Diceros bicornis minor: one gene and its partners. The protein of the gene in region 3 binds, or shares a complex with, the protein of the main gene of each other region. Links are inferred from orthologs where the notes say so. Each region holds a gene or a part of one and is shown on either strand. Other genes may lie near its edges. The genes, in order: EIF3B, EIF3D, EIF3J and EIF3F.

Region 1 (7,104 bases), on a different chromosome or scaffold from region 3:
GCAAATATAAATAATGTTTAATGAGCCAAAACAGAAGACATTTAGTTAAAACTTTTATCATATATCAGTTTGACGGAGCACCAAAGGCAGTTGAAAAACTGAAAGGATGACTAATTGAGATGCAACTGCGCGACAGTGCTTGTTACTGTACACAGGGCACGATCTGCTCACTGAGAGACAAAAGCCAATCGTCAAGAGGCAAGATGGTGGCAGAGAAAGGGTAGTTTATAAGAGCTTGCTAGCAAGGGAAAAGATGGCTGACTAATGTCTCAAAGCACCATCTTACAGAACAAAGACTACAGGCCAGTTATAGAGAGGGCTGGTCTCCAGGTGTGGGAGGCATCTGGTCTCATGGTAGGGACATCCCTCTGATCTCTAGGCGGGGCATCTGGTCTCAGGGTGGGGGCATCCATCTGGTCTTAGTCCCTGGCAGTCTTTTGTTTTACTGGATATGCATCAGAGACTGGAGCAACGCCCTGTACCCTAATCTTTCAGCTGTCACTGATGATGGCTATCAGCAGAGTCTCTGCCCAGGGATCACCACATTTCTAAGGAACTCAAAAGAACAAAGTTATCAATTTATAGCAGCTGGGAGGGGCCATAAAATCCAGAGTTAGTCAGAGATCATTCAAAGTTACAATATGGCTTCCCTTATGTCAACCTCGTGTTGAGCTGGTATCAGTGCTGATCTGTCTCAAAGAATGAGGCAAGATGACTTTGTGGTGCTTATATTGCACCCACGAGAGGGCTTTTCAGGAGACTCAGTCCATTTTCAAAAGAACCCTTACTGCCTTCTGCAGTGCTCTCTGACCCCCTACTGGGCAATTCTCACCCCACAATTTGTACTTGAGCTACTGACCATAACCAAGTAGCCTCAAGAAAACTGACAGCTGGCCTGCTCAGTTTTAGTTCCTTAGGACCAGGAGCTTCACAGCTCACTCTGGTAAAAATATGAGGATCACAAAGGCTCCCAAAGGCCCTCCCAGCAGTCACCTAGCCTGGCTGGCCTATGCTCATTGCAGCATCCTCTGACTGCCACACACTCCAATTCTGGAAATAATTCACATGCTAGAAATCTTGTATGAATTAGATGTGCTCAAATAATGCTTTAAAAAAATCAATCACAGAGTAAATACTGAAGAGCTCAAAATAGGCTTTAACATCAAAACTTCGATTTTACAATACAATATAAATTGCTGCGGTAAAAAAGAATGCTGGTCTGGGCAGCAGGATGGGGAGGGGGTGTCCCAGCGACACCGCCTCCCTGTGAGTTCTCAGCAACCTACCTCGCCATAAGGAACACATTTCCTCTTGGCTGAGGGGCTTCCAGTCCGTGGCTCTCAAGTCTTCACTAGCTTGTGGAGCCTTTCCTGCTTTTCATGCTAAAATATCTTTTGTCTTACGAAATAATGTACGCTAACAGCGACAGTAACAGGTAGCTCTTTAAAATTATGTTTAAATTAAAAGTTGACAACTCTGTGTTGGTTCCCTAAGTTTTCTTTCTCATTTTACTTGAGATTCTTTATAATTCAGACTCAACTTCACTGTGATCAGACACAATATCTCAAAAACACATCTACATCTCGATATTGTAACATCTTATTTTCTTGGTGTATTACTGGCTATTTCATTGATGTTTTATTTATTTTTCCTATTTTACTACAACAGTCAATACACAAAGGAACCCACTGATGTGCTCCCAGCTTGCAGAATTCAAATAGCTAAAAAAAAAACATACACGAGTAAAAACAAATGAGATTAGCTATCACCAAAAGTCACTTTAGAAGACAGGCTTTCTCAGGCAGGAAGCAGAGGTACTGCCTATAAATTGAATCAATGTAGAAAGGAAGGCAAAGCAAGCTACAGTCGACAACACTAAACCCTGAGATCTGCCAACACAAGAATGGCGTCTGCCTACACTGAGGAAAAGGGATAACCAAACAGGTGGCTGGCAGAGTCGGCCTGGCACTGTCCTACTAAGAACTCTCTGGAAGAAAACGCTTCCGTGGGGCAGCGGCAAAGGAACCAGCTCTGCCATAACCTATTCTGAGGATAGCGTCCCATCTGCCCCTAAGAAGCCGGCACTAAGTCACTTTCAGACATTTGACAGGTGTGGCTGTCATTCGAGGCATCCAGGCCTGTTGAGGGAAAACTGTCACCCGAGACTGTGCAGCACTGGAGTGTCCTGTTTGCTCGACCCTAATAGCCACACCACTGCCCACACGGCCACAGCTCCTGCGTGCACGCCGTCCGCCGTCGCCACTCCCCGAATTCCCGGTTAGAGTGCAAATAACTGGCTCCCCAAGCAGTCTCCATCCTGTCCCCTCTTTTCTTTTTGGAGAGAAATGAAAGCACCCAGGCTGTCACAGGACACCTTTCCTACGTGAGGGACGACGAGTGGAGAATGGGGACCTCCATGCTGAGTTCCACGGGGCAAAGCCCCTGGTGGGCTCCAAGATGCGCGGTGACCCGTTCCGCGTTCGGGGCCTCGGGAAGCTCCGCGCAGACAGCCACACCGCCTCACCTTCCTCGCTCACGTCGTCCACAAAGTCCTCGGGGTCGCTGAAGGAAGGCTCGTCCGCGCCGGCGTCCTCCGCCGCCCCGCCCTGCTCCCCGCCCGCCCCCTCGGACCCGGCCTCGGCCGCCGCGTCCTGGGCCTGCTCCCCCGGCGCCTCGCCCGCGGCCGGGACGGGGGCGGGGGGCTCCTCGAGCGGCGCCGCAGACGACCCGAGAGCCGCGCCGGCCGCTTCCTCCCCGTCGGCTGCGGGCTCGGCTCGCACGTCAGGCCCCAGCCCAGTCTCAACCTCCGCCGCTGCGTCCTCGCCGCCCGCCGCCTCCTGCGCGCCGGCCCCCGCGGGCCGCGGCGAGTCCTCCCCCGGCGGCGGCTCGGAGGCCGGCTGCTGCTGCTGCTGCTGCTGCTGCTGCTGCTGCTGCTGCTGCCCGGGCTCGGCCCGCTGCTCGCCCGCCTCGGTCGCGGCCACGTTCTCCGCGTCCTGCATGGCCCGCCGCTACCACCTCACCTCGCCCCGCCGCGCCGCGCTTCCGACTCTCCCAGGTCGCACTGCGCGCCGACCGCGGGCCATGTGCGTGCGCGGGGCGTTCCATCAGACTCGGAGCGGGGGTGGGCCGCCCACGCCCTGACTCCTGACAGCGTGGCCAGAGGAACAAAAGGGCAGCATTGTGTCCACTGATGATTACGATAACGCTCGTGTGAGAAGCACGTGCGAAACTCCAATCACCAAAGCGCCTCTGGTGTAACTACAAACTCATGGGGAGCTCGAGCTCCCCCATTTGTGGGAGCGGGTGGTTCCGTCCAACATGGCAGCCAGGCACCTCCTTCTCCCGTCGGGCGCTGCGGCGAAGGACTTAACTATTGGTGACGCCGCAGGGAAGGAGCAGAAGGTATCTTGGTATACGGAACTGCAGGAAAATATGTAACTCAAAAAGTAATACTACAAGAAACTGTAAGTTCAACCAACTATTTTTATTGTGATATCTTTAGCCTCTCATCAGTTTAGCTTACATTACTAGGTCCCCCCTTCACGTGTCGGTGTTTAGACTCGTCCACTGAGTGGGCACATGGATGGACGCTTCCAAAACATAAAAGGAATTCTCGGCCGTTGAGCCGGAGATGGACAACACGACTAGGAAGACGATTGCCTGGCACGATACGAAAATGAATGAGAGCTGCTTTAATCACTTACGCCCAAGCCCACCGTGGCGGCTGTAATTCCACCTCTCCCCGTTCTCATGGTCGCCGTGGTTCGGCCCACGGAGGCCTCCGCTGGAGCGAGCGCGGGTCACGTGGGGGCGGGGCGGAGCCAGCCGCGGGGGCGGGGCCGGCGCTGGAGGGTGGGTTTCGCTCTGAAAAGGGTGTTCTGTGTTTGTAGCTCCTATTTTGGTGGCAGCCGGTGGTTGTGGTTCTGGGGGAGGGGAATGGGGAATTAGTGTTTAATGAGTGCAGAGTTTCAGTTTGGGAAGATGAACGAATTCTGGAGATGGATGGTGGAGATGGTGCACAACAGTGTGGATGTGCTTAATGCTGCTGCACTGCACACTGAAAAATGGCTAACATGGTAAGTTTAATGTCATGTATATTTTACCACAATTGAAAGAGAGAAAAAAAAAAAGAACTAGGGTTCTTAGGTTGCCTAATACTAGGTGTGAATCCTCCTCATCTTACTTTTCAGCCGTGTAACTTTGGGCAAGTCTCCTGGCATCTCTGCCTCAGTTATCCCATCTGTAAAATGAGGGGTAACTCATTTTGTGTGCGTGGCCTGTGGACCGCCTTCACCAAGGCAAACTGATTTCTCCTAGAAGTCAAAGTTATGCTCTTGATTTCTAGTTGTATCTGCAGTTTTCATAGATCATTGGGCTATGCTACCCCTTCTCTTCTAGAAGGTGCTAAAGGTGACAAATCAATGAACAAGAAGCAAATATTCACAGAAAAGCTGGAAAACAGGGGCTGGCCTGGTGGCATAGTAGTTAAGTTCGGGCGCTTCCCTGCGGCAGCCTGGGGTTTGCAGGTTCAGATCCTGAGTGCAGACCTGCACACTTCTCATGAAGCCCCATGCTGTGGCAGCGTCCCATATACAAAATAGAGGAAGATGGGCACAGATGTTAGAGCAGGGCCAATCTTCCTCACAAAAAAAAAAAAAGCTGGAAAATAGTTGACCTTCATTGGCCAGCTGCATGTTTCTTAGGAAAGACTTTTGTGGCATGCATGTGTTGCATAGAGTAGCCACTCATTACTATTTCCCAGTGAGGGGAAAATTGTATCCTTTAATGCAGGTGAAATTGTGTTGTGCTCATGATGCAAAAAAAAGAAACGTACATTTTCAAAATATATTTCATAGTGTTCTAGGGAGAGGACCAAGATCAGCAGTTCCGCTATCCTCAAATGCCTGAGAAGCACTGTAATTGATACTCAAATTATAAGTGCCTAAGTGGGAGGTGCTCTGCATTGGGGATACAGTGGTGAGTACAGCATGTATGATTGTTGCCGTCTTAGAATTGCAGTGTAGCAGGGGCAACATTCAGGAATCAAAGCATCACAGATGTGAGTGTAAAAGTGCATCTGTGATAGGTTCATAAATTCTTTGACACGCTTTCTTTCAAAAGGGGAAGCCAAACCCTGCTCCTCTGAAGTGTGGGTGGACTTAGTCACTGGCTTCTCATGAATAGCTTGTGGCAGAAGTGATGCTGTGTACCTTCCAAGTCCAGGTCCTAAAAATGATATGCTTGGGGCCGGCCCGGTGGCGCAAGCAGTTCGGTGCGCGTGCTCCGCTGCGGCGGCCCGGGGTTCGCCGGCTCGGATCCCAGGCGTGCACCGACGCACTGCTTGTTGAGCCATGCTGTGGCGGCATCCCATATAAAGTAGAGGAACATGGGCACAGATGTTAGCTCAGGGCCAGTCTTCCTCAGAAAAAAGAGGAGGATTGGCATCAGATGTTAGCTCAGGGCTGATCTTCCTCACAAAAAATAAAATAAAATAAAATAAAAAATAAAAATGATATGCTTGCTCCCGGTTCACTCTCTCTCGAATCACTGGGTCTGAAAGAAGCTGGCCACCTTGTCCTGAGGACACTCATGCAGTGTGTGGAGGCGCCCCAGTGTGGAGGAACTGAGCTCCCCAGACAGCATCAGCACCGAGCTGCCAGACATATGAAATGGAAATGGATCCTCCAGCCCCAGTCAAGCCTTCAGATGGAGGCAGTGCCAGCCCGTGTCTTGAGAGAGGCCTCAGGAGAAACCAAACCTGCCAACACCTTGATCTCAAACTCCCAGCCTCCAGAACTGTGAGAGAGAAATTTCTGTTGTTTAAGCTGCCCGGTCTGTGGTATTTTTTTTACAGCAGCCTGAGCTAACTAATAGCGTAAGTAAAATACATAGAAAAAGGCCTAGAAGGATACACGCTGAACTGAAAAAAGTGTTTGATGAAGGTAAGTAGTATTGGTAGTGTTGGTCAAAAAAAATGTTAATTATAGATTCTAGGTGGTAGATTTACTCTTCACTGTAAAATTCTCTCAACTTTTGTGTATGTTTGAAAATTTTTATAATAAATTGTTGAGGGGGAAGGACTCAGGAGCCAGCTTTAAGAGGCCCCCCACTGCAACAATTTGAGCCTCAAAAAGAATAAAAAACTGCATATGATTGACATAAATAAAGTATGTTTAAATCCATTAGTTCATAATGCTGTTAAAAAAAAAACATTCATCACTGGTGACTCTTGCTGGGACATTATCTCATTGTTGTAAAGACAAAAGACTCTAGCAAAAAATAAGTAATCTTGCCTCTCTTATTTTACCTTATATTTTAAGGTAACCAAATAGTTGATTAGGGATTGTCCTTCTTTATTGAAGAATTCTAGCTAATACATGCAGAAGGATCAATAAAATTGGAGAGGCAGCATTCTGCAACCCTTGTGAAATAAAGATCTAAGCAATGGTCCTGCAACCGGTGGATGAGAGGTTGATAGGGAACCGTGTGATGGAGGGAGCAGAATGACACCACCTGAGATTAAGGCTGTAAATTTCCCTCTACATGCTACTTTAGTTACATCCCACAAATTATAATACGTTGTATTTTCTGTTGCAAGTGTTTTCTAACTTCCATTATGATTTTTTCTCAGACCCATGGATTATTTAGAAATGTGTTATTAATTTCCAGATGTTTGAGGATTTTCCAGACATGTTTCCAAAATTGCTTTCTAGTTGAAGTCTGTTGTGACTGAAACATACCTTTGTATGATTTCAATCCTTTTTAAAATGTATTGAGATTTGTTTCATGGCTAAGAGTGTGATCTACCTGGGTGCACGTTCCTTGTACACTTGACAAATGTGCTGCTGCTGTTGGGTGAAGTGTTCAATAAATGTCACTTGGGTCAAGTGGATTGAGAGCTTTGTTCAAGTCTTCTGAAACCTTACTGATTTTCTGTCCACTTGTTCTGTCAGTTGGCTGAGAGAGCAATGTTGGAATCGCCGGTTCTGATGATGGATTTGTGTATTTCTACTTTCAGTTTTATCACTTTTTTCATGTTCTTTGAAGTTCTATAACAGGTGCATACACATTTAGGGTTGCTTTGTCTTTTTGATGAATCGGCTG
Region 2 (7,272 bases), on a different chromosome or scaffold from region 3:
GGTCTTAAAGCACAAAAGGGTTTCTGTTTGAGGTAAGCGAAGACATAAGTGATAAAACTCAAAAAGCAACACGCAAAATGGAGCCTTCAACTGTTGTGCTACCGCTAACAATATTTTCTTGCAGATAATATTGTGAATACTTAAAATTTAGAAGACTGCTGGGGCCAGCCTGGTGGCACAAGTGGTTAAGTGCGCGTGCTCTGCTATGGTGGCCCGGGGTTCGCCGGTTTGGATCCCGGGCACGCACCAATGCACCGCTTGGCAAACAATGCTGTGGTGCTGTGGTGGCGTCCCATATGAAGTGGAGGAAGATGGGCACGGATGTTAGCCCAGGGCCAGTCTTCCTCAGCAAAAAGAGGAGGATTGGCAGATGTTAGCTCAGGGCCGATCTTCCTCAAAAAAAAAAAAAAAAAAGAAGAAGACTGCAAACAAAACTGCCTTACCAGATTTCATAAACTCTATGACACCCACTTTTTTCACTGTAACATCTTTGAGACGAGGCTGCACCTTATGTTTGATGGGGTGTCATATCTTAACTGGCAGTTTCTTTCTTAGTGTTAGATAAAATAACGTGATTCTTAAATTCGGTGGTCTCTCACAGATTTTATAATTTTTTTTTTTATTTATTTTTTCCCCCAAAGCCCCAGTAGATAGTTGTATGTCATAGTTGCACATCCTTCTAGTTGCTGTATGTGGGACGCAGCCTCAGCATGGCTGGAGAAGCAGTGCGTCGGTGCGCGCCCGGGATTCGAACCCGGGTCGCCAGCAGCGGAGTGCACGCACTTAACCGCTAAGCCATGGGGCCGGCCCTCACAGATTTGATGAAACGCAGTAACTTTTTTTCAAGTGTAATCACCACGTTCTGGTTCTCAGAAACACCTTCACCAAGGCATACAATACCCAACTTCCCTAAGCCTCAGTCTCCTCATCTGTAAAATAAATACGATCCTTGTTTTATATATATCACAGAATCATTGTGAAACTCTTATTAGTTAACACACAGGTAAATGCTTTCACTGTAAAACGCCACACAATTACTATTCAGACTTGCAAAAACACATTTACACACAAGAGTGCTAAGAAAAATAGAATCTGTAAATATTATCTTGAAATTCAACTTACTTTTCTTATTCTTCCAATTTTCTGTATCAATGCAAATCCTTATGCAGAACACGTGGACACAGAGCCAAGCAAAAGGTCTGCCAGAAGGCTGAGGAGGTCACCAGAAACCTTAGGTCACAAAAGTGGCCATGCATCCAATGTTCATAAATACCACGAGTACCAAGCATTGTTCCTAGTGCTCACCACGCATAAATTCATTAAAGCCTCCCAACAATCCTGAGGCAGGGGCCAGTATTATCCCTACTTTCCAGATAAGAAAATTGAGGCACAGACAAGATAAGAAATTGCCCAAAGTCGAACTGAAGTGCTAGCTGATGAAAAATTTGAACCCAGCCATCTGGCCCCAGAGTCCACACTCTGCATGATGCTACAGTTTCTCTCCGGAAAGTAAAAACCAGGGGCTCCAGACAGATGTTTGCCTGACAGTTCCTAGCAAAACCTATGCATTTATCATCCACCGTAACTCTCTGAAAATGCTCAGAAGGGGAGGTCCCAGAGGAAAATTCATTACACGAATGTTTCTGGAGGCTGGAGAGCCATCAAAGAGCTCAGGTATACTGAACTTAGTAAACTCTCCTCATTGTCCCATGATGGGGAGACTAAGGCTTCCCACAGAGGTGACACTTGGGTGACAGCAACAGGGAGCAAATCTGGGAGCATCATCCTCCCACTCTGAACCTAAGTTACACTATAGGAAGAGGACTGAGAGAAGGGGTGGTGATCTCAAAACGGTTCACGTTAAATAAGTATTTACTGAGTTCCTGCTATGTGTCAGGCACCACACTAGATGTGTTAACAGCGCTAACTCCCCCATACCTCCACTTTAGAGACAAAAATTTGCAGCTCAGCCAAATCAAGCAGCTGATCTGCCCATCGTTTAAACGTAATTTAATCTCCAGGGTTGTCTGCCATCAATCCAGCATTCTTCCCATCGTATTATGGCTGGACAGCAGCCTGAAATACCTGGGGTTCTAGACCACACCTAATAACACAGCAACGAAGTCTCGAAACACGCTGTTTTGAACATTCAGTTGTTCTGTCACAGCTCAAGAAGGAAAGAGGCCCAAGGCTTGACATGCACTTCTCCAGGGAGTGGGAGTAAGTCCCCTGGCTTCAGCACATGGGAAACAGAGTGAGAGAAATGGAACCAGCAGGACAAACGGAGCCGTTCAGTTAAATCGGAGTGACAGCTGTACCGGCTACAGGGGCGGGATGGGGCGGCACCGACAGGGCAGTGAGAAGGAGCCCTGGGTCTAGCAGGCCACCGTATTGTGTAGATCGTCAAGGCCACTGCAGATCGTACACCATCGATCCCTAGGGGGAGGGCGTTTCAGATCGGAGATCAATCGACTCCCTTCTAGCCTTCTATCTCACAGAAAAGGGAAGGAAGCCTCGGACAGTGAACTCCTCAGAGCAGGGTCGAATATCGCTCAGCCTGGCACCCCCAGTACCTCACTCGGAAACTCAGAAACGCTTTGGCCACTTTAAAAAGCCCCTGAGAGCCAGCGGGCTTAAATGAGATTATCAGATTCCCCCAGCCCGTGGCCAAGAAGCGGAGCCTAGGGCCAGGGCCCTCACCCCCAGGGCCGTGCCCTGCATCCCGCTGCGCGCCGGGCTTGGGGCCCCCGAAAGTGGATTCCTGCCCCGCCCAGCGGAGGGAAGGCACTGGCAAAAGGGGACGTACAGCAGGTCTCTTCCGGGGGCCCCCGAAGGCCGGGCCCAGCCCAAGCCGGCCCTGGAGGTCCGCGGAACTTTACAGAACCCGCCGCTCACCTGCAACAGCCTCGGGCGGCCCAGATGGCGAGGGATGGTTCGGGCCGGGGACTTCGCCACCGGCTACAGCTCGATGTACCAGGAAAAGAGAAAAAGTGCGCGCGCAGAGGCCGGCGCCGTAAACACGACCGGCGCTGTCGTAAACTGCGCTCCAGCTTCCTCCGGGTTCGACGGCGGGACACACGAGTCGTAAAGCGAAGACGCACCCGGAAATTCGTCACTGCTCTGTGAGAGGTGTCCTCGTTAGCCTCTGAGGCGCCAAGACGCAAGAAGAGTGTTTACAGTTACGTCACGGGGCATCCGGCGACGCCCCGAGAGGGCGTTCAGGATTGTTGAAACGTGGCGGCCGTGCAATCCAAGCTGGAGGCAGGGAGCGGCTGCCAGCCCCTCTGTGTCCCACAATGCTTCACGGGGCTCTCCGGCCCCTCTGTATCCCACAATGACCCGGGGCTCTTGCCTTCTTCACCCAATCGTGTGGTTCGGTCCTCACCGCTAGGGGGCGGCCGAGTGTCTCGGGAAGATTTTGTTGCTATCCTCCCTCCTCCTGCTCTGACAGCTTAGGAAACTGAGGCCCAGAGGTGGGAAGTGACCTACGTGTACAGACTGCTAGTTTAGGAAGTGGCTGCCAGGGTTCAAACCATACTCCCACAGTTCTCAAACTTTATTGTACGACAAAGATTTCTGGAGTGCTAATTTGGGAAATGCAGATTCCGAGTCTCATCTCCATAGATTGTGCTTCAAGACGTCTAAACGGGAGCCCGGGAATCTGCATTTTAATTAACAGCTGTGATTCTGAAATGGCGACTCAGGAACCGCTTTTCTACAGTGGGCAACAATGTTGTTCTTTCCGCAACTCCGAACCTTCGAGTTTGTCCTGGAGTCTTAGTGGGGAATTGCAAAACGTTGAAAGAAGAGTCTGAGGGCGTGATTTTCTTCAAACCTCAGATCCTTTTCTGCCTGGTCTCCTAAGTTTCCTTGTCAGTATCCCAGCGAGGCTCCTTTATTGGGAAATATATCTGCTATTAGACAGATCTGTACTCTCGGCTCTGCCGCTTTCCAGCTGTGTGACCTTCACATCTCTGAGCCTCAGTTTCCTTTTCTGTAAATTGGAGATAATAATAAGGGGGTGCTGTGAGGGTAAAAATAAATGTGCGTGAGAATACTTAGTCATCCCACTTACCAGTTGGGTGAACTTGCACAGGTTATTCCATCTCTCTAAACCTGCTTCCTCATCTGTAAAATGAAAATGTTAATAGCAGCATCTGTTTCCACACGTTCTCTTCCAATCGGCTCATCTTCCAGTTTTCCTAATTTTTGTTAACAGTACCCAGTGCAAAACCTTGTAGTCATCATTGGTAGTTCCTTTTCCCTTTTCCACCACACTGAATCCTTCGCTAAGTCCTCTTTATTCTACTTTCAAAGTACATCTTGAATGCTACCCCTTTCCCCCACCATGTCCAGCCTCGTGCTTGGACCCCCAGTGTGCACTTTTGTTCCTCTAGGGTTCCTTCTCCACATAGTGGTCAAGGCCATCTGTTCACAAGCTTGCAGCAGCTTCCCATTATGTGCTTAGAGTGAAACGTGAATGTCTTCCTTGGGCTGTCTGGTCCCTGGCTACCTTTCAACTTTATATCCTGCCATTCTGTACTCACTCTGCTCTAGCTACCATGGTCTTCTTTTTATGCCTCAAATACACCAGCCTCATTTCCGTCTCAGCAGGCCCTCTGCACTTGCTGTGTCTTCTTCGTGGTGCACTCTTCCCCAGATTTACCCATGCCTGGCTTGGTCCCATGATCCGTGTCTCTGCTCAGGAGTTATCCCCTCAAGAGATCTTCCCTGACCACCATTCCTAAAACAGCTGCTCCTCCCTCCATCCTTCCGCACCCTGTTACTTTGCTTCATTTTCTTTGTAGTTTTCATCACTCTGAAATATTGTTTCCTTGTTTAGGCTCTGTCTCTCTCTTGCAGAGTGTAAGCCCCACAAGAATAGAGGTTCTGTCTCTCTTACCTAGAACAATGCCTGGTAATACATGTTTGTTGAATTGTTGAATGAATGGGTAGGGGTTTTGTGAGAATTAAACGAGAAAATGAATTTAGCATATTACCCTGGCACGTACATAAATATTCAATGTTAGTATAATTAATATCAATAGTAAATTGTAATATGTTCTAAAATGCAAAGAGAGATGTATTTTTGCTGAATTGCTTGGATCATGTCTTTTGTTTTCTTCTTCTTCTTTGTTTTTTTGCTGTGGGCCCACAGCCCATCTGCTGCAGTCTCTCTCGTGTCAGAGTTTAATCATCTTTCCCATGGTTTGGCCCAGACGTCCCTGCCCACCCCAGATGGAGAAGGGTTTGGAGAGTCCAGTCTCGTTCTCAGTAGTGGGTCCCTGGGTGTGGGTGGAGATCTCGCCTCCCTTCCTCCTCACATCTGACGCCCCTGCTGCCTCCTTCTGCCTAACCCACTGTCCGTTGTCCAAGCGCAGCTGGAATGACTGTCCTTTACATTAGATCAGAGCATGCACTCCCTCCCTCCCTCCCCTCTTTGAAGCCTTTCAGTGGCTTATCTTTATCCTGAGAACAGAAGCCCATACTCTGTTCTGTGGTCTGCAAGTTTCTGAATGGCAGCTTCCTCTTTCTGGGTCATACTCGGGCTCATTCCTGCCTTGAGACCTTTTCGCCTGCTGTTCTCTGGTGCCTGGAATGCATGTCCCCTAGATCTTCACCAGCCTGCATGCTCAGCAAACAGGCGTTTCCTGACCGCCCCTCTGAGTGGCCTTGCGCTGTCCTCATTCACTCTCTTGCTCACTGAGTGCCTGATACGATTCCAAGAACTTCTGTTAACTCCTGCAGTTCCCGCCACAGCCCGTGAGGCAGGGCCTGCTGTTCTTCCCATTTTACAGATGAGGAGATGGAGGCATGGGGAAGTGCCCCGGGTTCAACAGTGTGTGGTGAAGCTGGGGGTTCAGACTCAGGAGGCCGCCTCGCTCCCTCTTCTTCCACATATCCCGTTAGTGTGTCACCAGATGACTAACGTTTACCTCTGCTAAAATAATCTTGTCTGTTGACTTGTTTACTTATTTATTGTCTCCTTGTTAGAACATAAGCCTCATGAGAGGTGGGATCTTATATGTCGTGTTCACTGCTGGTTCCCCAGCGCCTAGAGTGCTGCTTACCACATAGTGGGCGCTTGGAAGATGTTTGTTGGGTGGATGAGTGACCTCTGAGGACAAGTTCTCTCCTCCGTGTGTCCACGACACTTGGCAGAGCCCTCTGTTATGCTTCTGTTACCAGTGTCCCCACCTCTCCTACCCCTGCCTGGGTTCCCCCAGCACGGGGCTGCGTTATTCCTGGAGGAAGCCCCGTGGCCCAGCACAGTGCATGACACACAGAGCGCACCCAGGAAACGCTTAGTGAATCCGGGGCCTCCAGATACTGCTTTTAGAGGCTGTAAAATAAAAAACTCAACATTCATGCCAGAAAAGCGTACATTTGAGGGCAGGTACCCTTTTCTCAAAAGGAGACTTCACAGCATCTTTCCAGTTTGGAGAAGCGTAAACAGTGTCTTTGGGCAATTAAATGACTCACTTTTCATTATTGCTAATAATGGCTAACATCAGCACAGCAGTTCATAAGTGACAGAGTCCTTTGCTGTTGAAGTCAATGAGTAAAAGGATCAACATTGTCAGAGGTCGTTATTTAACTTGCATACTGAGGGCCACCCTCTGCAGCAGGACTCTGTGGGTGTAATGATTGAGTGAGATCCTTGTCTTCACAAGCTTCCCGTCCAACTGAGGGAGTGACTGCAAAGCATTTTCTAAGCTGAGAAAGGGGGACCCACAGGTGCCCGCCAGGCCCTCCGTGTACATCCCTTCATGTCATGTCTAGAGGAGAGAGGCACCGTTACTGCTCTTTTCTCATCAGCCTTTTGTGCTGTTCTGTCCTGTCCTGTCCCTTCCAAGTAAGACAAACGCATTTTCTAATAGGAAGCTCCGATGCCTTAAAAAGGGGAAGTAGCATTTATTGAGTGCTTACTACATGTCAGGCCCTGTGCTAGTGCTTTACGTAAATCATCATCTCTCTGATTCTTTCTAAGAGCTCTCGGAGACAGGCATCGACCTCCCATTAACACAGGTGGGGAGAAGCAGGCTCAGGGGAGTTGGGTACCGGGCCCAGGGAGTAAGTGGCCGAGCCAGGATCTGAGAGCACCTTTGTGTCCTCAAAACCTCCCACCCTTACAGGGTGGTGGAGGAGGCTTTCTTGAGATTTGGAAGGTTCTCTTTCTGGCCTCCCTCCTCTGTCTCTTGCCTCTGCTCTCTAATTTCCTCAGACCCTTCCTATCCTGCATCTCAGTGGCAGCTCCAGAATTTCCCCAGG
Region 3 (7,743 bases):
CACAAATATAGAAAATGTCAAGGCAACAATATAAACCCAGGTCTGCCTGATTCCCAAGTCCAGGAATCAAACTACTCCATAGCTACCGTATCTTGGGAATCTTGGAGAAACTCAAAAGAAAGAAACCAACATTTCAACTTGGAAATAAAACAGACAGTTCAGCTTTCTTCTCCAAGATCGACGTCAAAGTTTATGTAAAAGAAATAAGCCGGGGCCGGCCCGGTGGCATAGCAGTTAAGTGTGCGCACTCTGCTTCGACAGCCCGGCCCAGGGTTTGCAGGTTCGGATCCCGGGCACGCACCAACGCACCGCTTGTCAAGCCATGCTGAGGCAGCATCCCATATAAAGTCGAAGATGAGCACAGATGTTAGCCCAGGGCCAGTCTTCCTCAGCAAAAAAAGAGGACGATTGGCATTGGATGTTAGCTCAGGGCTGATCTTCCTCACCAAAAAACAAAAAAAGAAAGAAGCTATTAGTGGGGCTGGCCCCGTGGCTTAGCTGTGTGCGCGCTCCAGGTTTGGATCCCTGGCGCGAACCGATGCACCGCTTGTCAGGCCATGCTGAGGCGGCGTCCTACATACAGCAACTAGAAGGATGTGCAACTATGACATACAGCTATCTACTGGGGCTTTGGGGAGAAAAAGGGGAAAAAAGGAGGACTGGCAACAGATGTTAACTCAGGGCTGGTCTTCCTCAGCAAAAAGAGGAGGATTGGCATGGATGTTAGCTCAGGGCTGATGTTCCTCACAAAAAAAAAAAGAAGAAAAGAAATAAGCTATTTGTATAAAAGAAACTCGGCACTGAAAGGGTGACTGGACAAGATGATCTTTATGGTCCCTTAAAACTTGTAAATCTCCAAAATTAGTTCCAAGTGGTCAGAATTATATTTATCAGGATTGACACCATTTAGATTCAATAACCTCAGGCAGGCTACTTCATGATCAGTCTAGACTGATCCATTCAAACTTCATTTTCTGGTACTTCTTTCCTGATTTCTCTAATCTTTTCTTCTCATTTGCCAACTTGTTCCCAATTTTCATAACAGATGTCTTAAATGCTACATCCAGTATGCACAGAAAAAGTGAATGGACAAATCTGAACTAAAGGCTCAAAACAGAAAATTCACTACAATGTGGGAAGGTGACATATCTTGTAATGAGTCTGACAACACAATCCATTCCCATGTCTACACAACAAGTAAATAAAGCATCTAAGTATCCTCACAATAGTACTACTCATTTATTAACCCCAAAGGGTGCAAAGCTCACTTCATTCCTGTACCTGGCTGTTTGATAAACTGGACATCCACGTCATCAGACTCAAGACAAAACAGTAAAATCCAAACAAAGGTAGTATTAAGTTCATAGTGATTAGCATAAATTTTTTCAACCCAAGCAGAAGGAACTGTAGGGTTCTCAGTATGTGCTGAAGGGTGGAAGTTAGGAGATTAAAACATTCACCAAATGAATCAAAACCACAAAAAAAACATTTCCAATCCATACAAAACTTTATCTACACAAATACAGTATAAGACTTGGAGAACTTTGTCAATAAGAGTCTTAACATTCTGGGCTTGAGACTTCTGTAGCTACTTCAAAGGGAAAAAAAAAAAACAAGGAATGCAGTAGTCACGATGTCATCTGAAGCCATATGCGGAGGCCCCCCAAGAGTTTTCAAAACACAAACGAGGAAGGTATCTGGTTCACACCTACAAGCAATAGGAAAAAATAAACACTGCCCTGCCTCGTCCACTCCAACCACTAAATCTTCAATATTTCTTTGGACGTCACTCGTGTTTAGACGAATAACTCACTCTGTCAACTCCCCATTTTTCAGGTTTCTGACCATTAACTGTGGGCTATCTCAGGACTCAGTTTATCCTTTTACCACAGGGTCGGGGAAGGAAGGCTAAAACTTATTTCACTTTATTGTTTTTATTTGTCTTTTATGAAAAATAGATTGAAATTAAACAATATTTCACTCATCTAACTGCTTGAACAAATTCTACAAATGGGCCTTCGGAGACATAAATTAGTTACTGGCCCTGGGGAGACCTGAGCTCGAAGAGGCAGGTGGGTTGCAAGACTTTCCATATGGGACGAGCCATGCGGCTCAATCCCCAACTTCCCAGTCTCACCCCGGGGAGCGGCTCCGGGCCGCGAAGTCTGCACGTGGACCGGCCCAGACGCTGCTGTCATCTCCTGTCGCCAGTTGGGGGGTGGAATCCAGGCCGGAGCGCGGACCCTCAAACAAGGGCTGGGGCCCGGCCGCCGCCCTCGCCAAGGAAGTCCGAGGCAACGCTGCCCGTCTCCGGTCCGTACGGCCGGCGAGCGGAGGGGAAGGGGGCACCGCCAGGCCCTACGATCGCGCCTGGAGGCCCGGGCGGCGCCCCTGGGCCCAGAGTCCATCAGCCCGCCCGTCGGCAGGCAACCCCGCCCGCGACGGCGCCAGTCCGCTCCCGCGCTGCCCGGAGCCCCGGCCCGCACCCACCTTGACGTCCTCGTCCTCGTCCTCGCCTTCCCAGCGGTCCCCGCCGGCGGTGCCGCCGCCCCCCACTTTCCGCACCGGGTCTTCCACGGAGAACGTGTCTGCGTCTACGGAAGAGAGCGAGCCGCGTTAGTCCCTGTCTCGGCATGGTGCCAGCGCCGGCCCGGGCCCTGCCCCCGGAACTTTTGCTCACCCCAGGAGTCGGAGTCCCCCGCCGCAGCCGCCATCTCGAGCCGGGCGTGAGCGTGTGTGAGGAGTGAGCGAGAAGAGTTAGCGCGGCGGAGGTGAGTCACTGGATTTGCTCTCGTTGGCTGGCGCGGGGCAGGCTGGGACCGTGGCTGACTACGCCGGGACCCAGGCCCCGCCCCCTCTGGTGGCGGCGGGGACGCGCGCGCAGGCGGGAAGGGGGCGTGGAATGCGGTCAGTGGGGCGTGGGTAGCGCGGGCTGGCGAGGCGAGCGTCCGGTACCCCACGACGCGGAACAGTCCTGGTGGATAGTGGGGCGGGGAGAGATGAAGAGGCCGGAGACCGCCACCCTAGCCTGGGCCCCGGGGAGGAAACGTGAGTGCGGGGAACTTAGCAGGGCGGTACCTTGCCTGGCGCTTGGCCCTCGCCTGTTCTCGCCATCCTTCCCCTACCAAGCCCAGCCCCGCCCCGACTGGTCGGGTGCGCCCTCCCTCTGGTCACTTTGATCGCCGCCTGTGGCTGCTTGTGGAGACCCCCAGCCTCTTCACGCCGCGCTGAGAAGCGGACTCTGAACGCCACGGCCGCCTCTGGGGGCGGTGGACGGGCCTCGCTGACCCCCCGAGGGCCCGCTCGCGCGCTGGGGGAGGAGGGATCCCTCGGGAAGCCGGTGTGCGCGGGGCGCCCGGGAAGGAGCGAGTGGAGAGAGCCGCGTTCCTGGCACTCTTCCCAGCCAGGGTGCTTGGAGTCAGCTCCTGGCACGTTTGCGTCGAGTTAGTCACGAAGGGATCGAAGAGAGCCCCAGTGCTCGAGGATTTTCCTGTCCTGTGAGCCTCATGAGGCCAGTACATGATTCATTATTTCGTAGAATAATTTTGAAACTCAGTCTGCGCTAGGCATAAACTCTAGCCTTGTCTTCAAGGAGCGCATAATCAAGTAACATAGATAGACGTGTAAACAAGTTTCGACACAGTGTGATGGCTGCAACAAAAAGAAACATTGTGAGGTTAATGTAAAAAGGTAACAATAACGGCGGGGGGAGCGGGGATGCATGAAAGTCTTCTTGAGGTAAGCGCTGCGGAAATTGGAGTTTGAAAGACCAAGTGAAGTTTGCTCAAGTGCACTTCCAATAGAAAGAACGCATATGGTCCCTCACCTGACTGAGTGAGACAATCGCAGATAAGCTGAGCAGGTAAACTGATCATAATAAAGGGCTTAAGATAGGCTAAGCTGCACTCTGCCTTTTGGGCCACTGGTCTTTGCTGCAGAGGGTTTAAGAGGAGAGCAGTTTCACATGTTTTATTGTCGAATACATACTTGGTACAACATTCAAGTTATAAAAAGCTGTATACAGTGTTCAGCTATTCTATTCTTTCTAGTGGCAACCATTGTTCCCCATTTCTTGTGTATCTTTTCAGAGAGTCTACAAATACACATTTCGTAAAGATGGGCTTTTAAGAGAGATTCTACAGCCCAATTACTTAAAGTTTGTCCCTCCATCAGCAGCAACACCTTGGGAGCTTGTTAGAAATGCAGAATCTCAGGCCCCATCCCAGACCTACTGAATCAGAATCTGCCTTTTAACAAGATCTTCAGATGAGACTTTGTGCATTAAAGTGTGAGAGGCAATGATATACAGGCATCCATTTAGAAAGATGGATTGGAAGGAGGCAAGACAGAAGGCAGGGAAAGACTGGAATATAAGGTCCTTAGGGCACAATCTTTTATTCACAGTGTATCTCCAGTATTTGGCACAGTATCTAATACATAAGTAAATATTTTATGAATTAAATGAGAAGAATACAAGCCTAAAAGTAAGGCAAGGGCGACAGGAAAGAAGGAACAAATCTGAGAAATATTTAAGGGTCAAAATCAACAGAATTTAGTGACTATGATGGTTAATTTTATGTGCCAACTTAGCTAGGCCATCTACCCAGTTTTTGGTCAATCACTATTCTAGTTGTTGCTGCGAATGTATTTGTTGTATGTGATTAACAGTTAAATCAGTAGACTTTGAGTAAAGCAGATTACCCTCCCTAATGTGGCTAGGTCTCATCTAATCAGTTGAAGGCCTTAAGAAAACATAATGAGGAAAAAGGAATTCTACCACCAGACTGCCTTTGGACTCTGCAGCATCAGCTCTCCCCTGGGTCTCCAGCCTGCTGGCCTGCCCTGCAGATTTTGGACTTGCCAGCTCCCGCAATCCTGCAAGCCAGTTCCTTAAAATAAACCTTTTTCTGTGTATATATACACATCCTATTGGTTCTTTTTCTCTGGATAACCCTGACTGCTACAGTGATTGACTGGATATGGAGGAGGAGGGGAAGGGAGAAGTACATAGAAGGTAATGCCTTTGGAGATTGAGTGAGTGGTGGTGACGCCCATCTATAGATGCTCAAGTCAAAAACCTGTGAGCTTTCCTTGCTTTCTTCCTCTCTCTCACCCCCTAAATTCAATCCATCACCAAGTTCTGTGAATTACTACCAATATTAATCTTGAGTTCATTTAATTACCCCCCTGACTCTTGCTACCACCTCAATCCAAGCTTTCTCTAGACTGTTCTAGTATAATAACCTCCCAATTGGTTTTCCTGCTTCCACTCTTCCCTCTCCACAATCTATTCACTACGCACCAGGCAGTTTTTTTAATTTAAAAATGTAAATCAGGGGCCAGCCCACTGGTGTAGTGGTTAAGTTTGCGTGCTCTGCTTCGGTGGTCTGGGGTTCATGGGTTCGGATTCCAGGTGTGGACCTATGCACAGCTCATTAAGCCATGCTATGGCGGCATCCCACATACAAAAAATAGAAGAAGATTGGCACACATGTTAGCTCAGGGACAATCTTCCTCAAGCAAAAAGAGGAAGACTGGCAATAGATGTTAGCTCAGGTCCCATCTCCCTCACCAAAAAAAAAAATTGTAAATCAGATCGTCACACCCCTTTCTCTCAGTTGAAATCCCTTTAGTGGCTTCTTGTTATTTTTAGGGTAAAATCCAACTCCTTACTATAGCTTACAAGGCCCTGTATAGTCTGACTCCTGACTCCTGACTCCTGCCTCCTCCCACCAAGCCCCTTATGCCATTCTCTTTCATTAACCTCAGTTGCTCCTGGCCCTCAGGTAGAGGGCCTACTAAGCCTTTCCCTATTTTTGGACTTTGCACTTGCTGTTCTTTCTGCCTACAGTGCTCTTCCACACCTCTTTGTATGGTTGGCTTTTCTTCCTCCTTCAAATCAAAGTTCATATGTTACCTTTGCAAAAAGCTCTTTCTTCCCTGATCTCCCTCCTGCAAGGGGCCTCCCCTAGTGACTCTATCTCGTCACTCTGTTTTTGTCATAGCATTTATCACAATCTCTAATGACCTTGTTTATTTAATGTCTGTTTGAAGCACAGGGACCTTGTGTTCTTGACTACTGTACTCCCAGTGTCTGCCATGTAGTAAATGCTCAATAAATGTTTCTGAAAATGACTGAATGGTGCCTCTCATCATAATAAGGAATAAGGATAAATTAAGTTTTGGCCACTCAGATCTTGATATTCCTATGGGACATCCAAATGGAAATGTCTAGGACACATTTGGAACTGAAGAAATCTGGGCTCCAGATAGAAGATTTGGAGTCATCTGATTATGGTGGTGGATGGAATCATGTGGAAGTAGAGGCCATCTGAAGATAGGAAAGAATGAGAAGAAACCTTGAAGGACATAACATTTAAGCAGCAGCCAGAGGAAAAAGGTATAGAAAGGATAGTAAGTTTTTAAAAAAATTTTGTATCCTTCCAATTCTACCACTTTTTTTGGTAAAAAATATAAATTTTAAAATACTATGAATTATGGTATATTTGAAAATTCACTGTTGGAAGTCAAGAGACCTGGGTTCTTGTGATTCAAATGATCAGATTATATTGAACTGAACATTGGGCACTTCTGGTGAGGGGTGGGGAAAGCTCACAATAATTCCTTTTCTGGGGCCTGCCCCGTGGCTTAGTGGTTAAGTGCATGCACTCCACTACTGGCGGCCCGGGTTCGGATCCTCGGTGCACACCAACGCACCGCTTCTCCGGCCATGCTGAGGCCACGTCCTACATACAGCAACTAGAAGGATGTGCAACTATGACATACAACTATCCACTGGGGCTTTGGGGAGAAAAAGGGAAAAAAAGGAGGAGGATTGGCAATAGATGTTAGCTCAGGGCTGGTCTTCCTCAGCAAAAAGAGGAGGATTGGCATGGATGTTAGCTCAGGGCTGATCTTCCTCACAAAAAAAAAAAATTGTCCATAACAAAGGTATTTAAAAATAATAATAATTCCTTTTCTGAAAATTGTCCTAGTATACAAGAGTAGGTGGACTCCCTAGGGTCATGTTTGCTCCATTACCATAGCTGATTTGGGAAGGGGGTCAGAAGCAGATTAACTGAAGCTAATGAAGCTTTAGCTTGAGGGACCCTCATTGCATGGGCCCCTTCCATTCTTCAAGAAAGCCCTCCAAATTGTATATGCTTCAAACCATATAAAATCTGAATCTGCCCCTAGATGGGATGTAAGTAACCCAGTGGAACCACCAGATTCTCTGATGGTCTCCAAAGATGGCCCTTTAGTGAGCAGTACTCAACTCCTTATGTAGTCTCTTCCCCTTGAGTCTGGGCTAGCCTTGTGATTCATTTTTGACCAGTAGAATAGGACAGAAATGACATCTAAAGCTAGGCCACAACAAGCCTTGCAGCTTCCACCTGCACCTTTTGGAATGCTCACTCTGGTGGAAGTCAGCCACCATTTAGGAAGTCTTACTATCATGCTGATTCAAGCTAACTATATGGAGAGGCTGTTTAGGGAGAGAGAAATACTCAGCCAGCCGCTGGCTGTTTCAGATTATCCCAGCAGAGATAACAGATATAGGAGTGAAGAAGCCATCTTGGACATCCAGCCTAGTTGAGCCTTCAAATGATTCCATCTCCAACTACTTTTTTGATGCAATCACAGAAGACCCCAAGCCAAGAGTTGCCCAGCTGAGCCCACTCAACCCACAGATCTGTGAGAGATGTCATCTTAAGCCTCTTAAGTTTTGAGGTGAATTGTTAT
Region 4 (7,940 bases), on a different chromosome or scaffold from region 3:
CAAACACCTACCTGTGAACCTTAAACATCAATGTCAGTCTCTTACCACAACCTTCTGTTCTTCCAGCTCTGATACCTTTACTCCCACTACATCTGTTTCTTGACCTCACTAAGACCACTAGTCCCTCGACCTCTCCATTTTTTCCTAATCTACTGGCACCTCCCACGCCAGGCTTCAAGTGCTTCCCTCTCCACCACAGACCACAGTGTTGCCTATAACTGTCAGTGTCTGCTTAATTCCACTTCACTATGGTTTTTGCCCGCTTAGCTGAAACTATGTCCCCAAACCCAATGGATTCACATTCTTTGACCTCTCATCAGCATTCAACAGACTTGAGCACTTCAAGCTCCTGAAAAAGTTAAGTCTTCTGAGTTTCCATGCCACTATGACACTCCTCTGTTACAGCATTTATCACATTATGTTCTAATTAGCTGCATATGAGTATATCTTCATCTTGAGTTTAAGGTTAGAGTTTGTTTTATCAAACTTTGAATTCTAAGTACCTAACAGTTTTATGGTACATAAAAGGTATCAGTGACTTCAATTAACCAAATGAAATATGTTTTATGAATTAATGTCTAACTGAGAAAATTTAAGTTCTTAGCAAGCAAATCTAGGAATGCTTTGTAAGCGTTCCTTTGCTTTCGTTAAGTTCCTGGTAAGCAGAATCTATGCTTCATTCTTCAGTAAGTACTGCCTCAATAACACCAAGCACTGTACCGTGATCCCAATCTGGAAGAGGATCTAAACATCTAGATCACAGTTGGTCTAACTAGGGTCACTGGCATATTTGGGGCACACAGCACAAACCTCGGTTGGAGAACTGTTTCTTTAATCAGCTCCAGTGAGTCTGGAAACTTTGAGGGTACAGCTGAAAGACTAAATTAGTATTTGTCTAGTGCCAAGCCAGTGATGCAAAAATCATCTGTTACAGAAGCTCAAAGCAGGGCAGTCACAGAGGTTAAGAATGGGGGTGAGGTGGGGGCCAGCCCAGTGGTGTAGCGGTTAAGCGTGCGTGCTCCGCTTCAGCGGCCCAGGGTTCGCAGGTTTGGATCCTGGGTGTGGACTGACGCACCGCTTGTCAAGCCATGCTGTGGTGGCGTCCCATATAAAGTAGAGGAAGATGGGCACGGATGTTAGCCCAGGGCCAGTCTTCCTCAGCAAAAAGAGGAGGATGGGCATCGGATGTTAGCTCAGGGCTGATCTGCCTTACAAAAAAGAAAACCAAAAATAACCAAGAATGGGGGTTGGGGCAGGGGTCTGGGATGGAGGACTGATACTGAACACTCATCCTGGGAACCTGGAAGATGAGTGGAACTTAAACAAATGAGGGTGAGCAGGCAAGGCACTTGTGGCAAAGAGAATACAGAGGCTTGGTGTGAGAGAAACCGTGGCAATGTTTGGAAGATAATGGATCATTTGAAGTTTCTGGAAAATGCTACACCCTCAAAGATAAAGAGAGGAAGAATGTATGCATGTGTTAGGGCTGGTATAGGCCTGATGTGGAGGACGGCAACCAACGGCGGTTTTACACTTAATGTGTGCCAGCACAGTTAGATGCTTTCTGTAATAACTTAGTCTTTGTGAGAACTAAGTCTAAAGTAGCCCCTGAAGGAACTAGACTTTAGGTAATCTGTCCCAAGGCACGTGGCTAATATGTGGTGGAGGCTGCCTACCAATTTGGTCCTTTTTGCAAAACATCAATTTTCTTCTAAGCTGGAAGGACTAGTACACGTTCAAGAGTTAGAAAGAGAAATAATGCATGGGAGTGGAGTGGATTCACAAAGGTGTTTAAAATCTGTAACTAAGATGGAGTGAAAATGAATTTGATGAGATCAGCAGTCCCCAAAGAAAGAGATATATCAGTAATTCCGTTTCAGCGCTTCTCAGTTTTACAAATTACTTTAAGATATGTATACTCCAAATTTGGAACTTCGACAGGGAAAAAGTTATTCTTCCATCTGAAGGTTAAACAATATCATAAACAGATAATACAATCGTTTGTGTCCAAACAGAGAATTAGAGACGGACTGGGGAAACAGGGTCTCCGGCATTAGGAACTAGTAAGGAACAGAGGATCAGGCTAAGATGTTTAGGAAAGCAGAATACTACTGAAATCCTAAATGGGATCCTGCCAAACAAATTTACTTGTTGAGAGGGTTATCTTTTTACAGATGCCCCACTCCTTTGCCAACCGGTTAGAAACTTCTTTGTAAACAACTGGAAAATAAAGACATTTAGTCACTAGATAAGGGGGGAAAACGTGGTCTCTGGGCTTAGGGAGCCAGAGGTTTTGACTTCCTAGTCTGCGCCTGAACTCATTCGCGGTGAACTGGCACTAATTACAACTGACGTGAAATGCTGTCGTGAAGATCAAAAATAAAACCTACGTCACTCGGCACACTTATAGATATTTATTCAATAACCAACTACTCTTTACGTATTTTATGTCGCCCAAAGTGACAGCAATCGGGCAGGAAAGTTCAAGTTCCTTGGGGAGTTAAGTCGCAGCAGGAAGGTGAGATAGAGAAACAGTAAGAGGTCAGTAGGAATGGGAAGAGAGGTGAGCAAGACAAAAGGCCGTGGGAGATAGAAGAGAACGTCGATTACCCTGACCACTCACCCAGCAGGGTCCCGATGACTCGGGCAGCGCCCTCGTTGCGTCGCTCGTAGCTGTCCACGATGGAGGCCAAAATGACGGGGTGCAGCCGGACCACGCGGCCGCCGGGGAAGGGGCCTGGGAGCGCAGGCCCGGGCAGCGACTGCGCCGGCGTCTGCGCGGGGGCTGGCGCTGAGGCCGGGGTCTGTCCCGGGGCCGCGGTCCCAGCCGCCGCCGCCGGGTCTGAGGATGAGGCTGGAGCCGGCGATGGAGCTGGAGCCGGCGGCGCAGCCGGAGCTGAGGGGGAGGCTGGGGCTGGGGCTGACGCCGGGGCTGGGGCCGCAGCTGGGGAAGGGGCTTGAGTGGCGGGAGAAGCACTCGCCGGTACTGTCGGTGTGGCCATCTTGTCGAGAGAGAAAGAGCCGGGAGCGGAAGGGAGCGAGTTAGGGAATATTAGGCACACGATAGGCTGAAAACGCACCACGTGAACTAGATCTTTGTGCCTATTGGTTACTGATGATGCTTCTCACGGCACTACAATTTCCTGCTCTTAGTTTGTGCTCTTTGACTTTGGTCCGATAGGCACTCAGTGAGAAACAAGCTAAATAGTTCCGAGTAAACTTGGGCCCGCGGTTGGAGAAGAGAAACAATTCTGTCTGTGCTGCCGCCGCCCCACGGAGCCGGAGAGCAGCGCAAGGGTCGCAATTCCTGTTCTCAGATTTCAGTGGGAAAATAGTGGATGTCAAAATGCCTTTTAAAGGACTTTGTTCTTGACAGCGTCATAAGGTGTCAGTATGGTGGTTTATTCATTCAACAATTTGAATCTGTGCCAGACGCTCTTTTAGGCGTTCGGGATATATCTGCTAATAAAACAAATATCGTTGCCCCAGAAGAGTTTACATTCTAACGGGGAGAGACAAATGAGTACATTATATAATAAGTTAGAAGGTGATAAGTGCTGTGAAAAAGGAAAAAGTAGCAGAGAATATGAGTGGACTTGAAGGAGGCGAAGGAGGCGGCCATTGTTGGGGGACGGGGAGAGCCTCCAGGTAGAGGGCACAGCTAAGGAGCAGGCCTGGTGTGCTTGAGGAGGCTATGGGGTGGCTGGAGTGTTAGGAGCAAGGCCCGGAGCAGCAAGAGATGGACCTCTACATAGGGGTCAGGGAGCAGATCATTAAAGACCTCCTAGGCCACAGTAAGGACTTTGGCTTTTAGTCTGAGTGAGATGGGGAGCCACTGCAGGGTTGTGAGCAGGGGAGAATCCTGATCTTAGTTTTAAAAGGATCACTCTGACTGCTTAGAGAAGAATAGAATGGAGGGGCGGTTATTGGAGAGAGGGAGGTGAGAGAGAAAGAGCAGGGAGACATGCATGGAGATTCCCAGGAAGCCTAAGTGAGAGGTGATGGTGGTTGGGACCAGGCCAGCGGCAGTGGAAGTGGTGAGAAGTGGGCAGATTACGGCCATACTTTGAGGGTAGAGACAACAGGATTTTCTGAGAAGTTGTATGCGAGGTGTGAAAAAGAGGAGTCAAGAATGACTCCAGTGTTTTGTGCTGAGCAACTAGTATCAAGAAGTTGCCATCAGTTGAGATAGTGAAAGCTACAAGTGGAGCAGGTTTTTGGGAAAAGATCCCAAGTTCATTGTTGGATGTGTCACCCTTGAGATCGGGCATCTCATTAGACATCCAAACAGAACTGTAGAGTGGTCAGGTAGAGATTCTAGTCTGTACTTTGGGAGACGATTAACTGAGTAATGCTCTGTAAAGCTCTTAGCATATGCCTGATATACAGCATTTGTTATTGTTAAGTGGTAGCTATTATTAGTACGATGTGATAGAAGGAGCTCTGAGCCTCACTCCTTGTGTAATTTTGGGCAATTGATAATTTTTTTCTGAGCCTCAGCTTCCTTCTTGGTATAATGGGGATGTTAACATTTGCCTGTCAGGAAACCTGTCAACTCCCTTACTTAGGTCAAATCCCAGCATCCAGCTGGCCAGGTCGGTGGTGAGGTTGAACTTCTTAGCCTTGACTCTTATGTCCAAGAACTGCTTTCTCCTTGGAGCTCCCTTCCATAATCAGAATTCACATGATACTGTTCCCCTGTTAGTGCACTGGGTAGACATTCTCTCTTTTAATTCCCCCAAACACAAGTGAACCGCCTATCAGAGGAGGATTGAATAATGACTCTTGGATTTGATGACCTGGATTTTTACCAGCACTAGTAGAGCAGTGTCAGTGGAATTGAGGGTGGAGTGGACACGGAAACCAGAATTCAGGTGTGAGAGAATGGCCAGCTTGAAATGATGGCAGTGAGTGCTGGCTACTCTCTCAAGGAAGTTGCCTGGGAAGGAAAGGAGACATTTAAGGCAGTAGCTGGGGGAACGGCAAGATTGAGAGGGGGACAGTTGTGGCTGGGAGAGTTTTTAGTATATTTTAAGCTAAGGGTAAGGATCTAGAGGAGAGAGAAAGATTGAATATACAAGTGTGAGCTAGGGAAACTGTCTAATGAAACAAGGCAGGAAGGAGGACCTGAATGGAGAAGCCTAGATGAGAGGGATGGTCTTGCACAGGATGGAGGATATGCTGCAGAGGCTGCCCTGGGCTGTGGCCTCCCTTGTGGGTTCCTAGTGGGGGTCTCCTTTAGCCAGGGCTGGTCCCGTGAGATCATCCTATGGAAAGAAGGCCAGAGGAGAGAATCACCCCTTAGGAATAGGTGTTGCCATCCCAAACTGACCATACACACCCTTGGAATGCCTATCCATGTGTTGATTTGAGTTGGATGTGGACACTTCACCACCAAGAACTTTGCCTTTATATAGATGGCCTAAAGACCTTTCTCTCTGGGAGGAAAGGAGAAAGGGATGGATGAAGAATCGGAGACACTTTGAATTGGGGAGAGAAGGGAAGTTGCAGGAGCTCTTGTCAATTGATATTTTTCTCAGGGAGGTGGAGGCAGAGTGATCTGCTGAGAATGGCAATGCAAGGGTGGGGTTCAGCTTTGGGACAATGGACAGCATTTGGAAGAGGGGCCAAGAGTGAGCCATCAAAGGCATTGATCAATTATGAGAGGGCCCAGCTGAGCCTGGAGACCTCAAGGATCTGGTCAGCTCTTGTATGTTTCTCCAGCCACATTGCTCAGGGGCAGGAGGAGAGAGATCTTTGGCATGGTCTTCCTAGGCATGCTGACTGGCCAGGACAAGGGAGTGCATACATCCAGGATGTTCGCTTTTCAATGGCTGACTGAGGGATCCAGGCAGGCTGAACCCTATAAATGAAACTCTGGGGCCCAGATTCATCAGGAAAGGGCAGAAGGCATGGGGAGAGAGAAAATGGGCTGTCCCCTTGTATTTGGAAAATGTGTTGTGTACATGGTGTATTGGTCAGAGTTCTGCAGAGGAACTGACAGGATAAATATATATATATATATATATATATAAATAAATAAGGAATTGGCTCACATGATTATGGAGGCTGAGAAGTCCCAAGATCTTTAGTCAGCAAGCTGGAGACCCAGGAGAGCCAATATATAGTTCTAGTCTGACGGACTAGAGGCAGGCTCAAGACCCAGGGAGAGCTGATGTTTCAGTTTGAGTCTGAAGGCTAGAAAAGACCGGTGTCCTGTTCAAGCAATCAGGCAGGAGGAGTTCCCTCTTATTCAAGGGAGGGTCAGCCCTTTTGTTCTCTTCAGGCCTTCAATTGATTGGATGAGGCCCACCCGTATTAGGGAGAGCAATCTGCTTTACTCAGTCTATCAATTTAAATGTTAAACTCATCCAAAAGCACCCTCATAGACACACTCAGAATACTGTTTGACCAAATATCTGGGGACCCTGCACCCCTGTCAAGTTGACACATAAAATTCACCGTCACATCTGGGTTTCTGACTGTCCTGGGGAACAAGCTTGATAGTCCTGCCTGAAAAGACCAGGGTCATAACTGTAGGCTCATGTTAAAGATGGGGCCTGCAGCTTGATAAACCCATCCCACCTCCTCAACGATGGTTGGAGTGAAGGGAGCCCCAGCTACAGCTGCAACTATAGGAGGACCACAAGGGGGAGCCCCAGGCTCTCTTGACTCTGTAGCAACTGGAACTTGAGACTTAACTCAGCCTTCCCTGATGGGGCAGAGCTGTGCAGGAACCATGGCCCCGTCCTTCTGCAGACCGGGCCTGGCACAGGCAGGCTGGTGGGCTGCCTCCCACAGTTTGTCTCTGCTCGTCGCCAGCACCTAAGAACATTAGAAGAGGTATTCCCTTTAAAATCAGGAACAAGACAAGCATGGCTGCTATCACCACTTTAATTCAACATTTAACCAGAGTCCCAGCCAGCACAGTCCGAAAAAGGAAAACAATCAAAGGCATAAGGATTAGGAATGAGAAAGTAAAAGCCATTTTCTGCAAATAATGGTTACCTGCATAGAAAACCCAAAAGAATTCAATTCATAGATAAATTATTAAAACAATAGGTGGATAGATCTGACAGATGAACAAGCTATTGCTCTTCTATGCATCAACAATAAAAAATTAGAAAATGTCATTATAAGTACACCATTTACAAAAGCAACAAAAATATAAACAACAAAATATGTGCAAGACCCATACATAGAAAATTATAAAACTTTACAGAAATGCATTAAATAAGACCTAAATAAATTATAATCCATGATCACAAATAGGAAAACTTAATATCACCAAGACGTCAATTCACCTCTAATAAACCTTTAGAGTCAATGCAATCTAAATCCGTCAAATTTTACAAACGTGTTCTAAAACGTATAGGAAAAAGCAAAGGGCCGAGAATAGCCAACACGGTTTTCATGAAAAAGATGGCAGAATGGGAGGGAGATCCTGTGCTATCAAACATTGAGACATATCCTAAAACTGTAGTAATTAAAACATAATATTGGACCTGCTCTACCAGATTTCAAGACCTTTTAAAACTGGAGATATAGTAATTAGTAAATCATTGTATTGGTGCAGAATAGATGAAATGGAACAACAATAAAAAAGAGCCAGAAACTGTACTAGGCATTTATGACACTTTGATATATAAAAAAGTATCATGGCAGATTAATGGGGAAAGGAAGGACAATTCAAAAAATAGAATTAAAAAATTCCTGCTAGACTAAGAGGTTAGAACAATACCTTAAACACATTAAAATATACAGAGGTAGATGTCTATCTCTCTGACATTCAAATAGAAAGTATTTCTTAAATAAAACCCCAAAAGCCCTAACTGTAAAAGACAGCACTGACAAAGTTGGCTACACTAAAACTAGGATTGGTTTTTCAAAAGACAGCTTAAAGAAAATAATAAAGATTTTCTAAAGAAAAATGTAGAAAA

Evidence for each region.
Region 1: the proteins of EIF3J (region 3) and EIF3B are in contact, whole or in part, in an NMR structure (PDB 2KRB), measured with the Homo sapiens proteins. The link is inferred for Diceros bicornis minor from reciprocal best matches to the Homo sapiens genes EIF3J and EIF3B. Residues at the interface, in NP_003749.2 of Homo sapiens: Asp45, Glu46, Asp50, Asn51, Trp52, Asp53, Asp54, Asp55; in NP_001032360.1 of Homo sapiens: Lys202, Asn205, Val206, Ile207, Lys209, Ile210, Lys213, Asn249, Ala250, Asp251, Gly252, Tyr253, Lys254, Leu255, Phe261.
Region 2: EIF3J (region 3) and EIF3D share a complex: the UniProt entries of both Homo sapiens proteins name them as parts of the eukaryotic translation initiation factor 3 (eIF-3) complex. The link is inferred for Diceros bicornis minor from reciprocal best matches to the Homo sapiens genes EIF3J and EIF3D.
Region 4: EIF3J (region 3) and EIF3F share a complex: the UniProt entries of both Homo sapiens proteins name them as parts of the eukaryotic translation initiation factor 3 (eIF-3) complex. The link is inferred for Diceros bicornis minor from reciprocal best matches to the Homo sapiens genes EIF3J and EIF3F.

The regions. Positions count from the first base shown.
Region 1 is NC_080765.1:12,217,436-12,224,539, forward strand, and holds the start of EIF3B (eukaryotic translation initiation factor 3 subunit B), read right to left. Parts: upstream 3,016-7,104; 5' UTR 3,000-3,015; coding exon 2,525-2,999; intron 1-2,524.
Region 2 is NC_080764.1:13,075,163-13,082,434, reverse strand, and holds the start of EIF3D (eukaryotic translation initiation factor 3 subunit D), read right to left. Parts: upstream 3,005-7,272; 5' UTR 2,896-3,004; intron 2,829-2,895; exon of another isoform or gene 2,807-2,828; intron 1,211-2,806; 5' UTR 1,123-1,210; intron 1-1,122. UniProt on the Homo sapiens protein: mRNA cap-binding component of the eukaryotic translation initiation factor 3 (eIF-3) complex, a complex required for several steps in the initiation of protein synthesis of a specialized repertoire of mRNAs.
Region 3 is NC_080744.1:41,734,689-41,742,431, reverse strand, and holds the start of EIF3J (eukaryotic translation initiation factor 3 subunit J), read right to left. Parts: upstream 3,010-7,743; 5' UTR 2,715-3,009; coding exon 2,681-2,714; intron 2,595-2,680; coding exon 2,491-2,594; intron 1-2,490. UniProt on the Homo sapiens protein: Component of the eukaryotic translation initiation factor 3 (eIF-3) complex, which is required for several steps in the initiation of protein synthesis.
Region 4 is NC_080746.1:66,883,396-66,891,335, reverse strand, and holds the start of EIF3F (eukaryotic translation initiation factor 3 subunit F), read right to left. Parts: upstream 3,018-7,940; 5' UTR 3,003-3,017; coding exon 2,624-3,002; intron 1-2,623. UniProt on the Homo sapiens protein: Component of the eukaryotic translation initiation factor 3 (eIF-3) complex, which is required for several steps in the initiation of protein synthesis.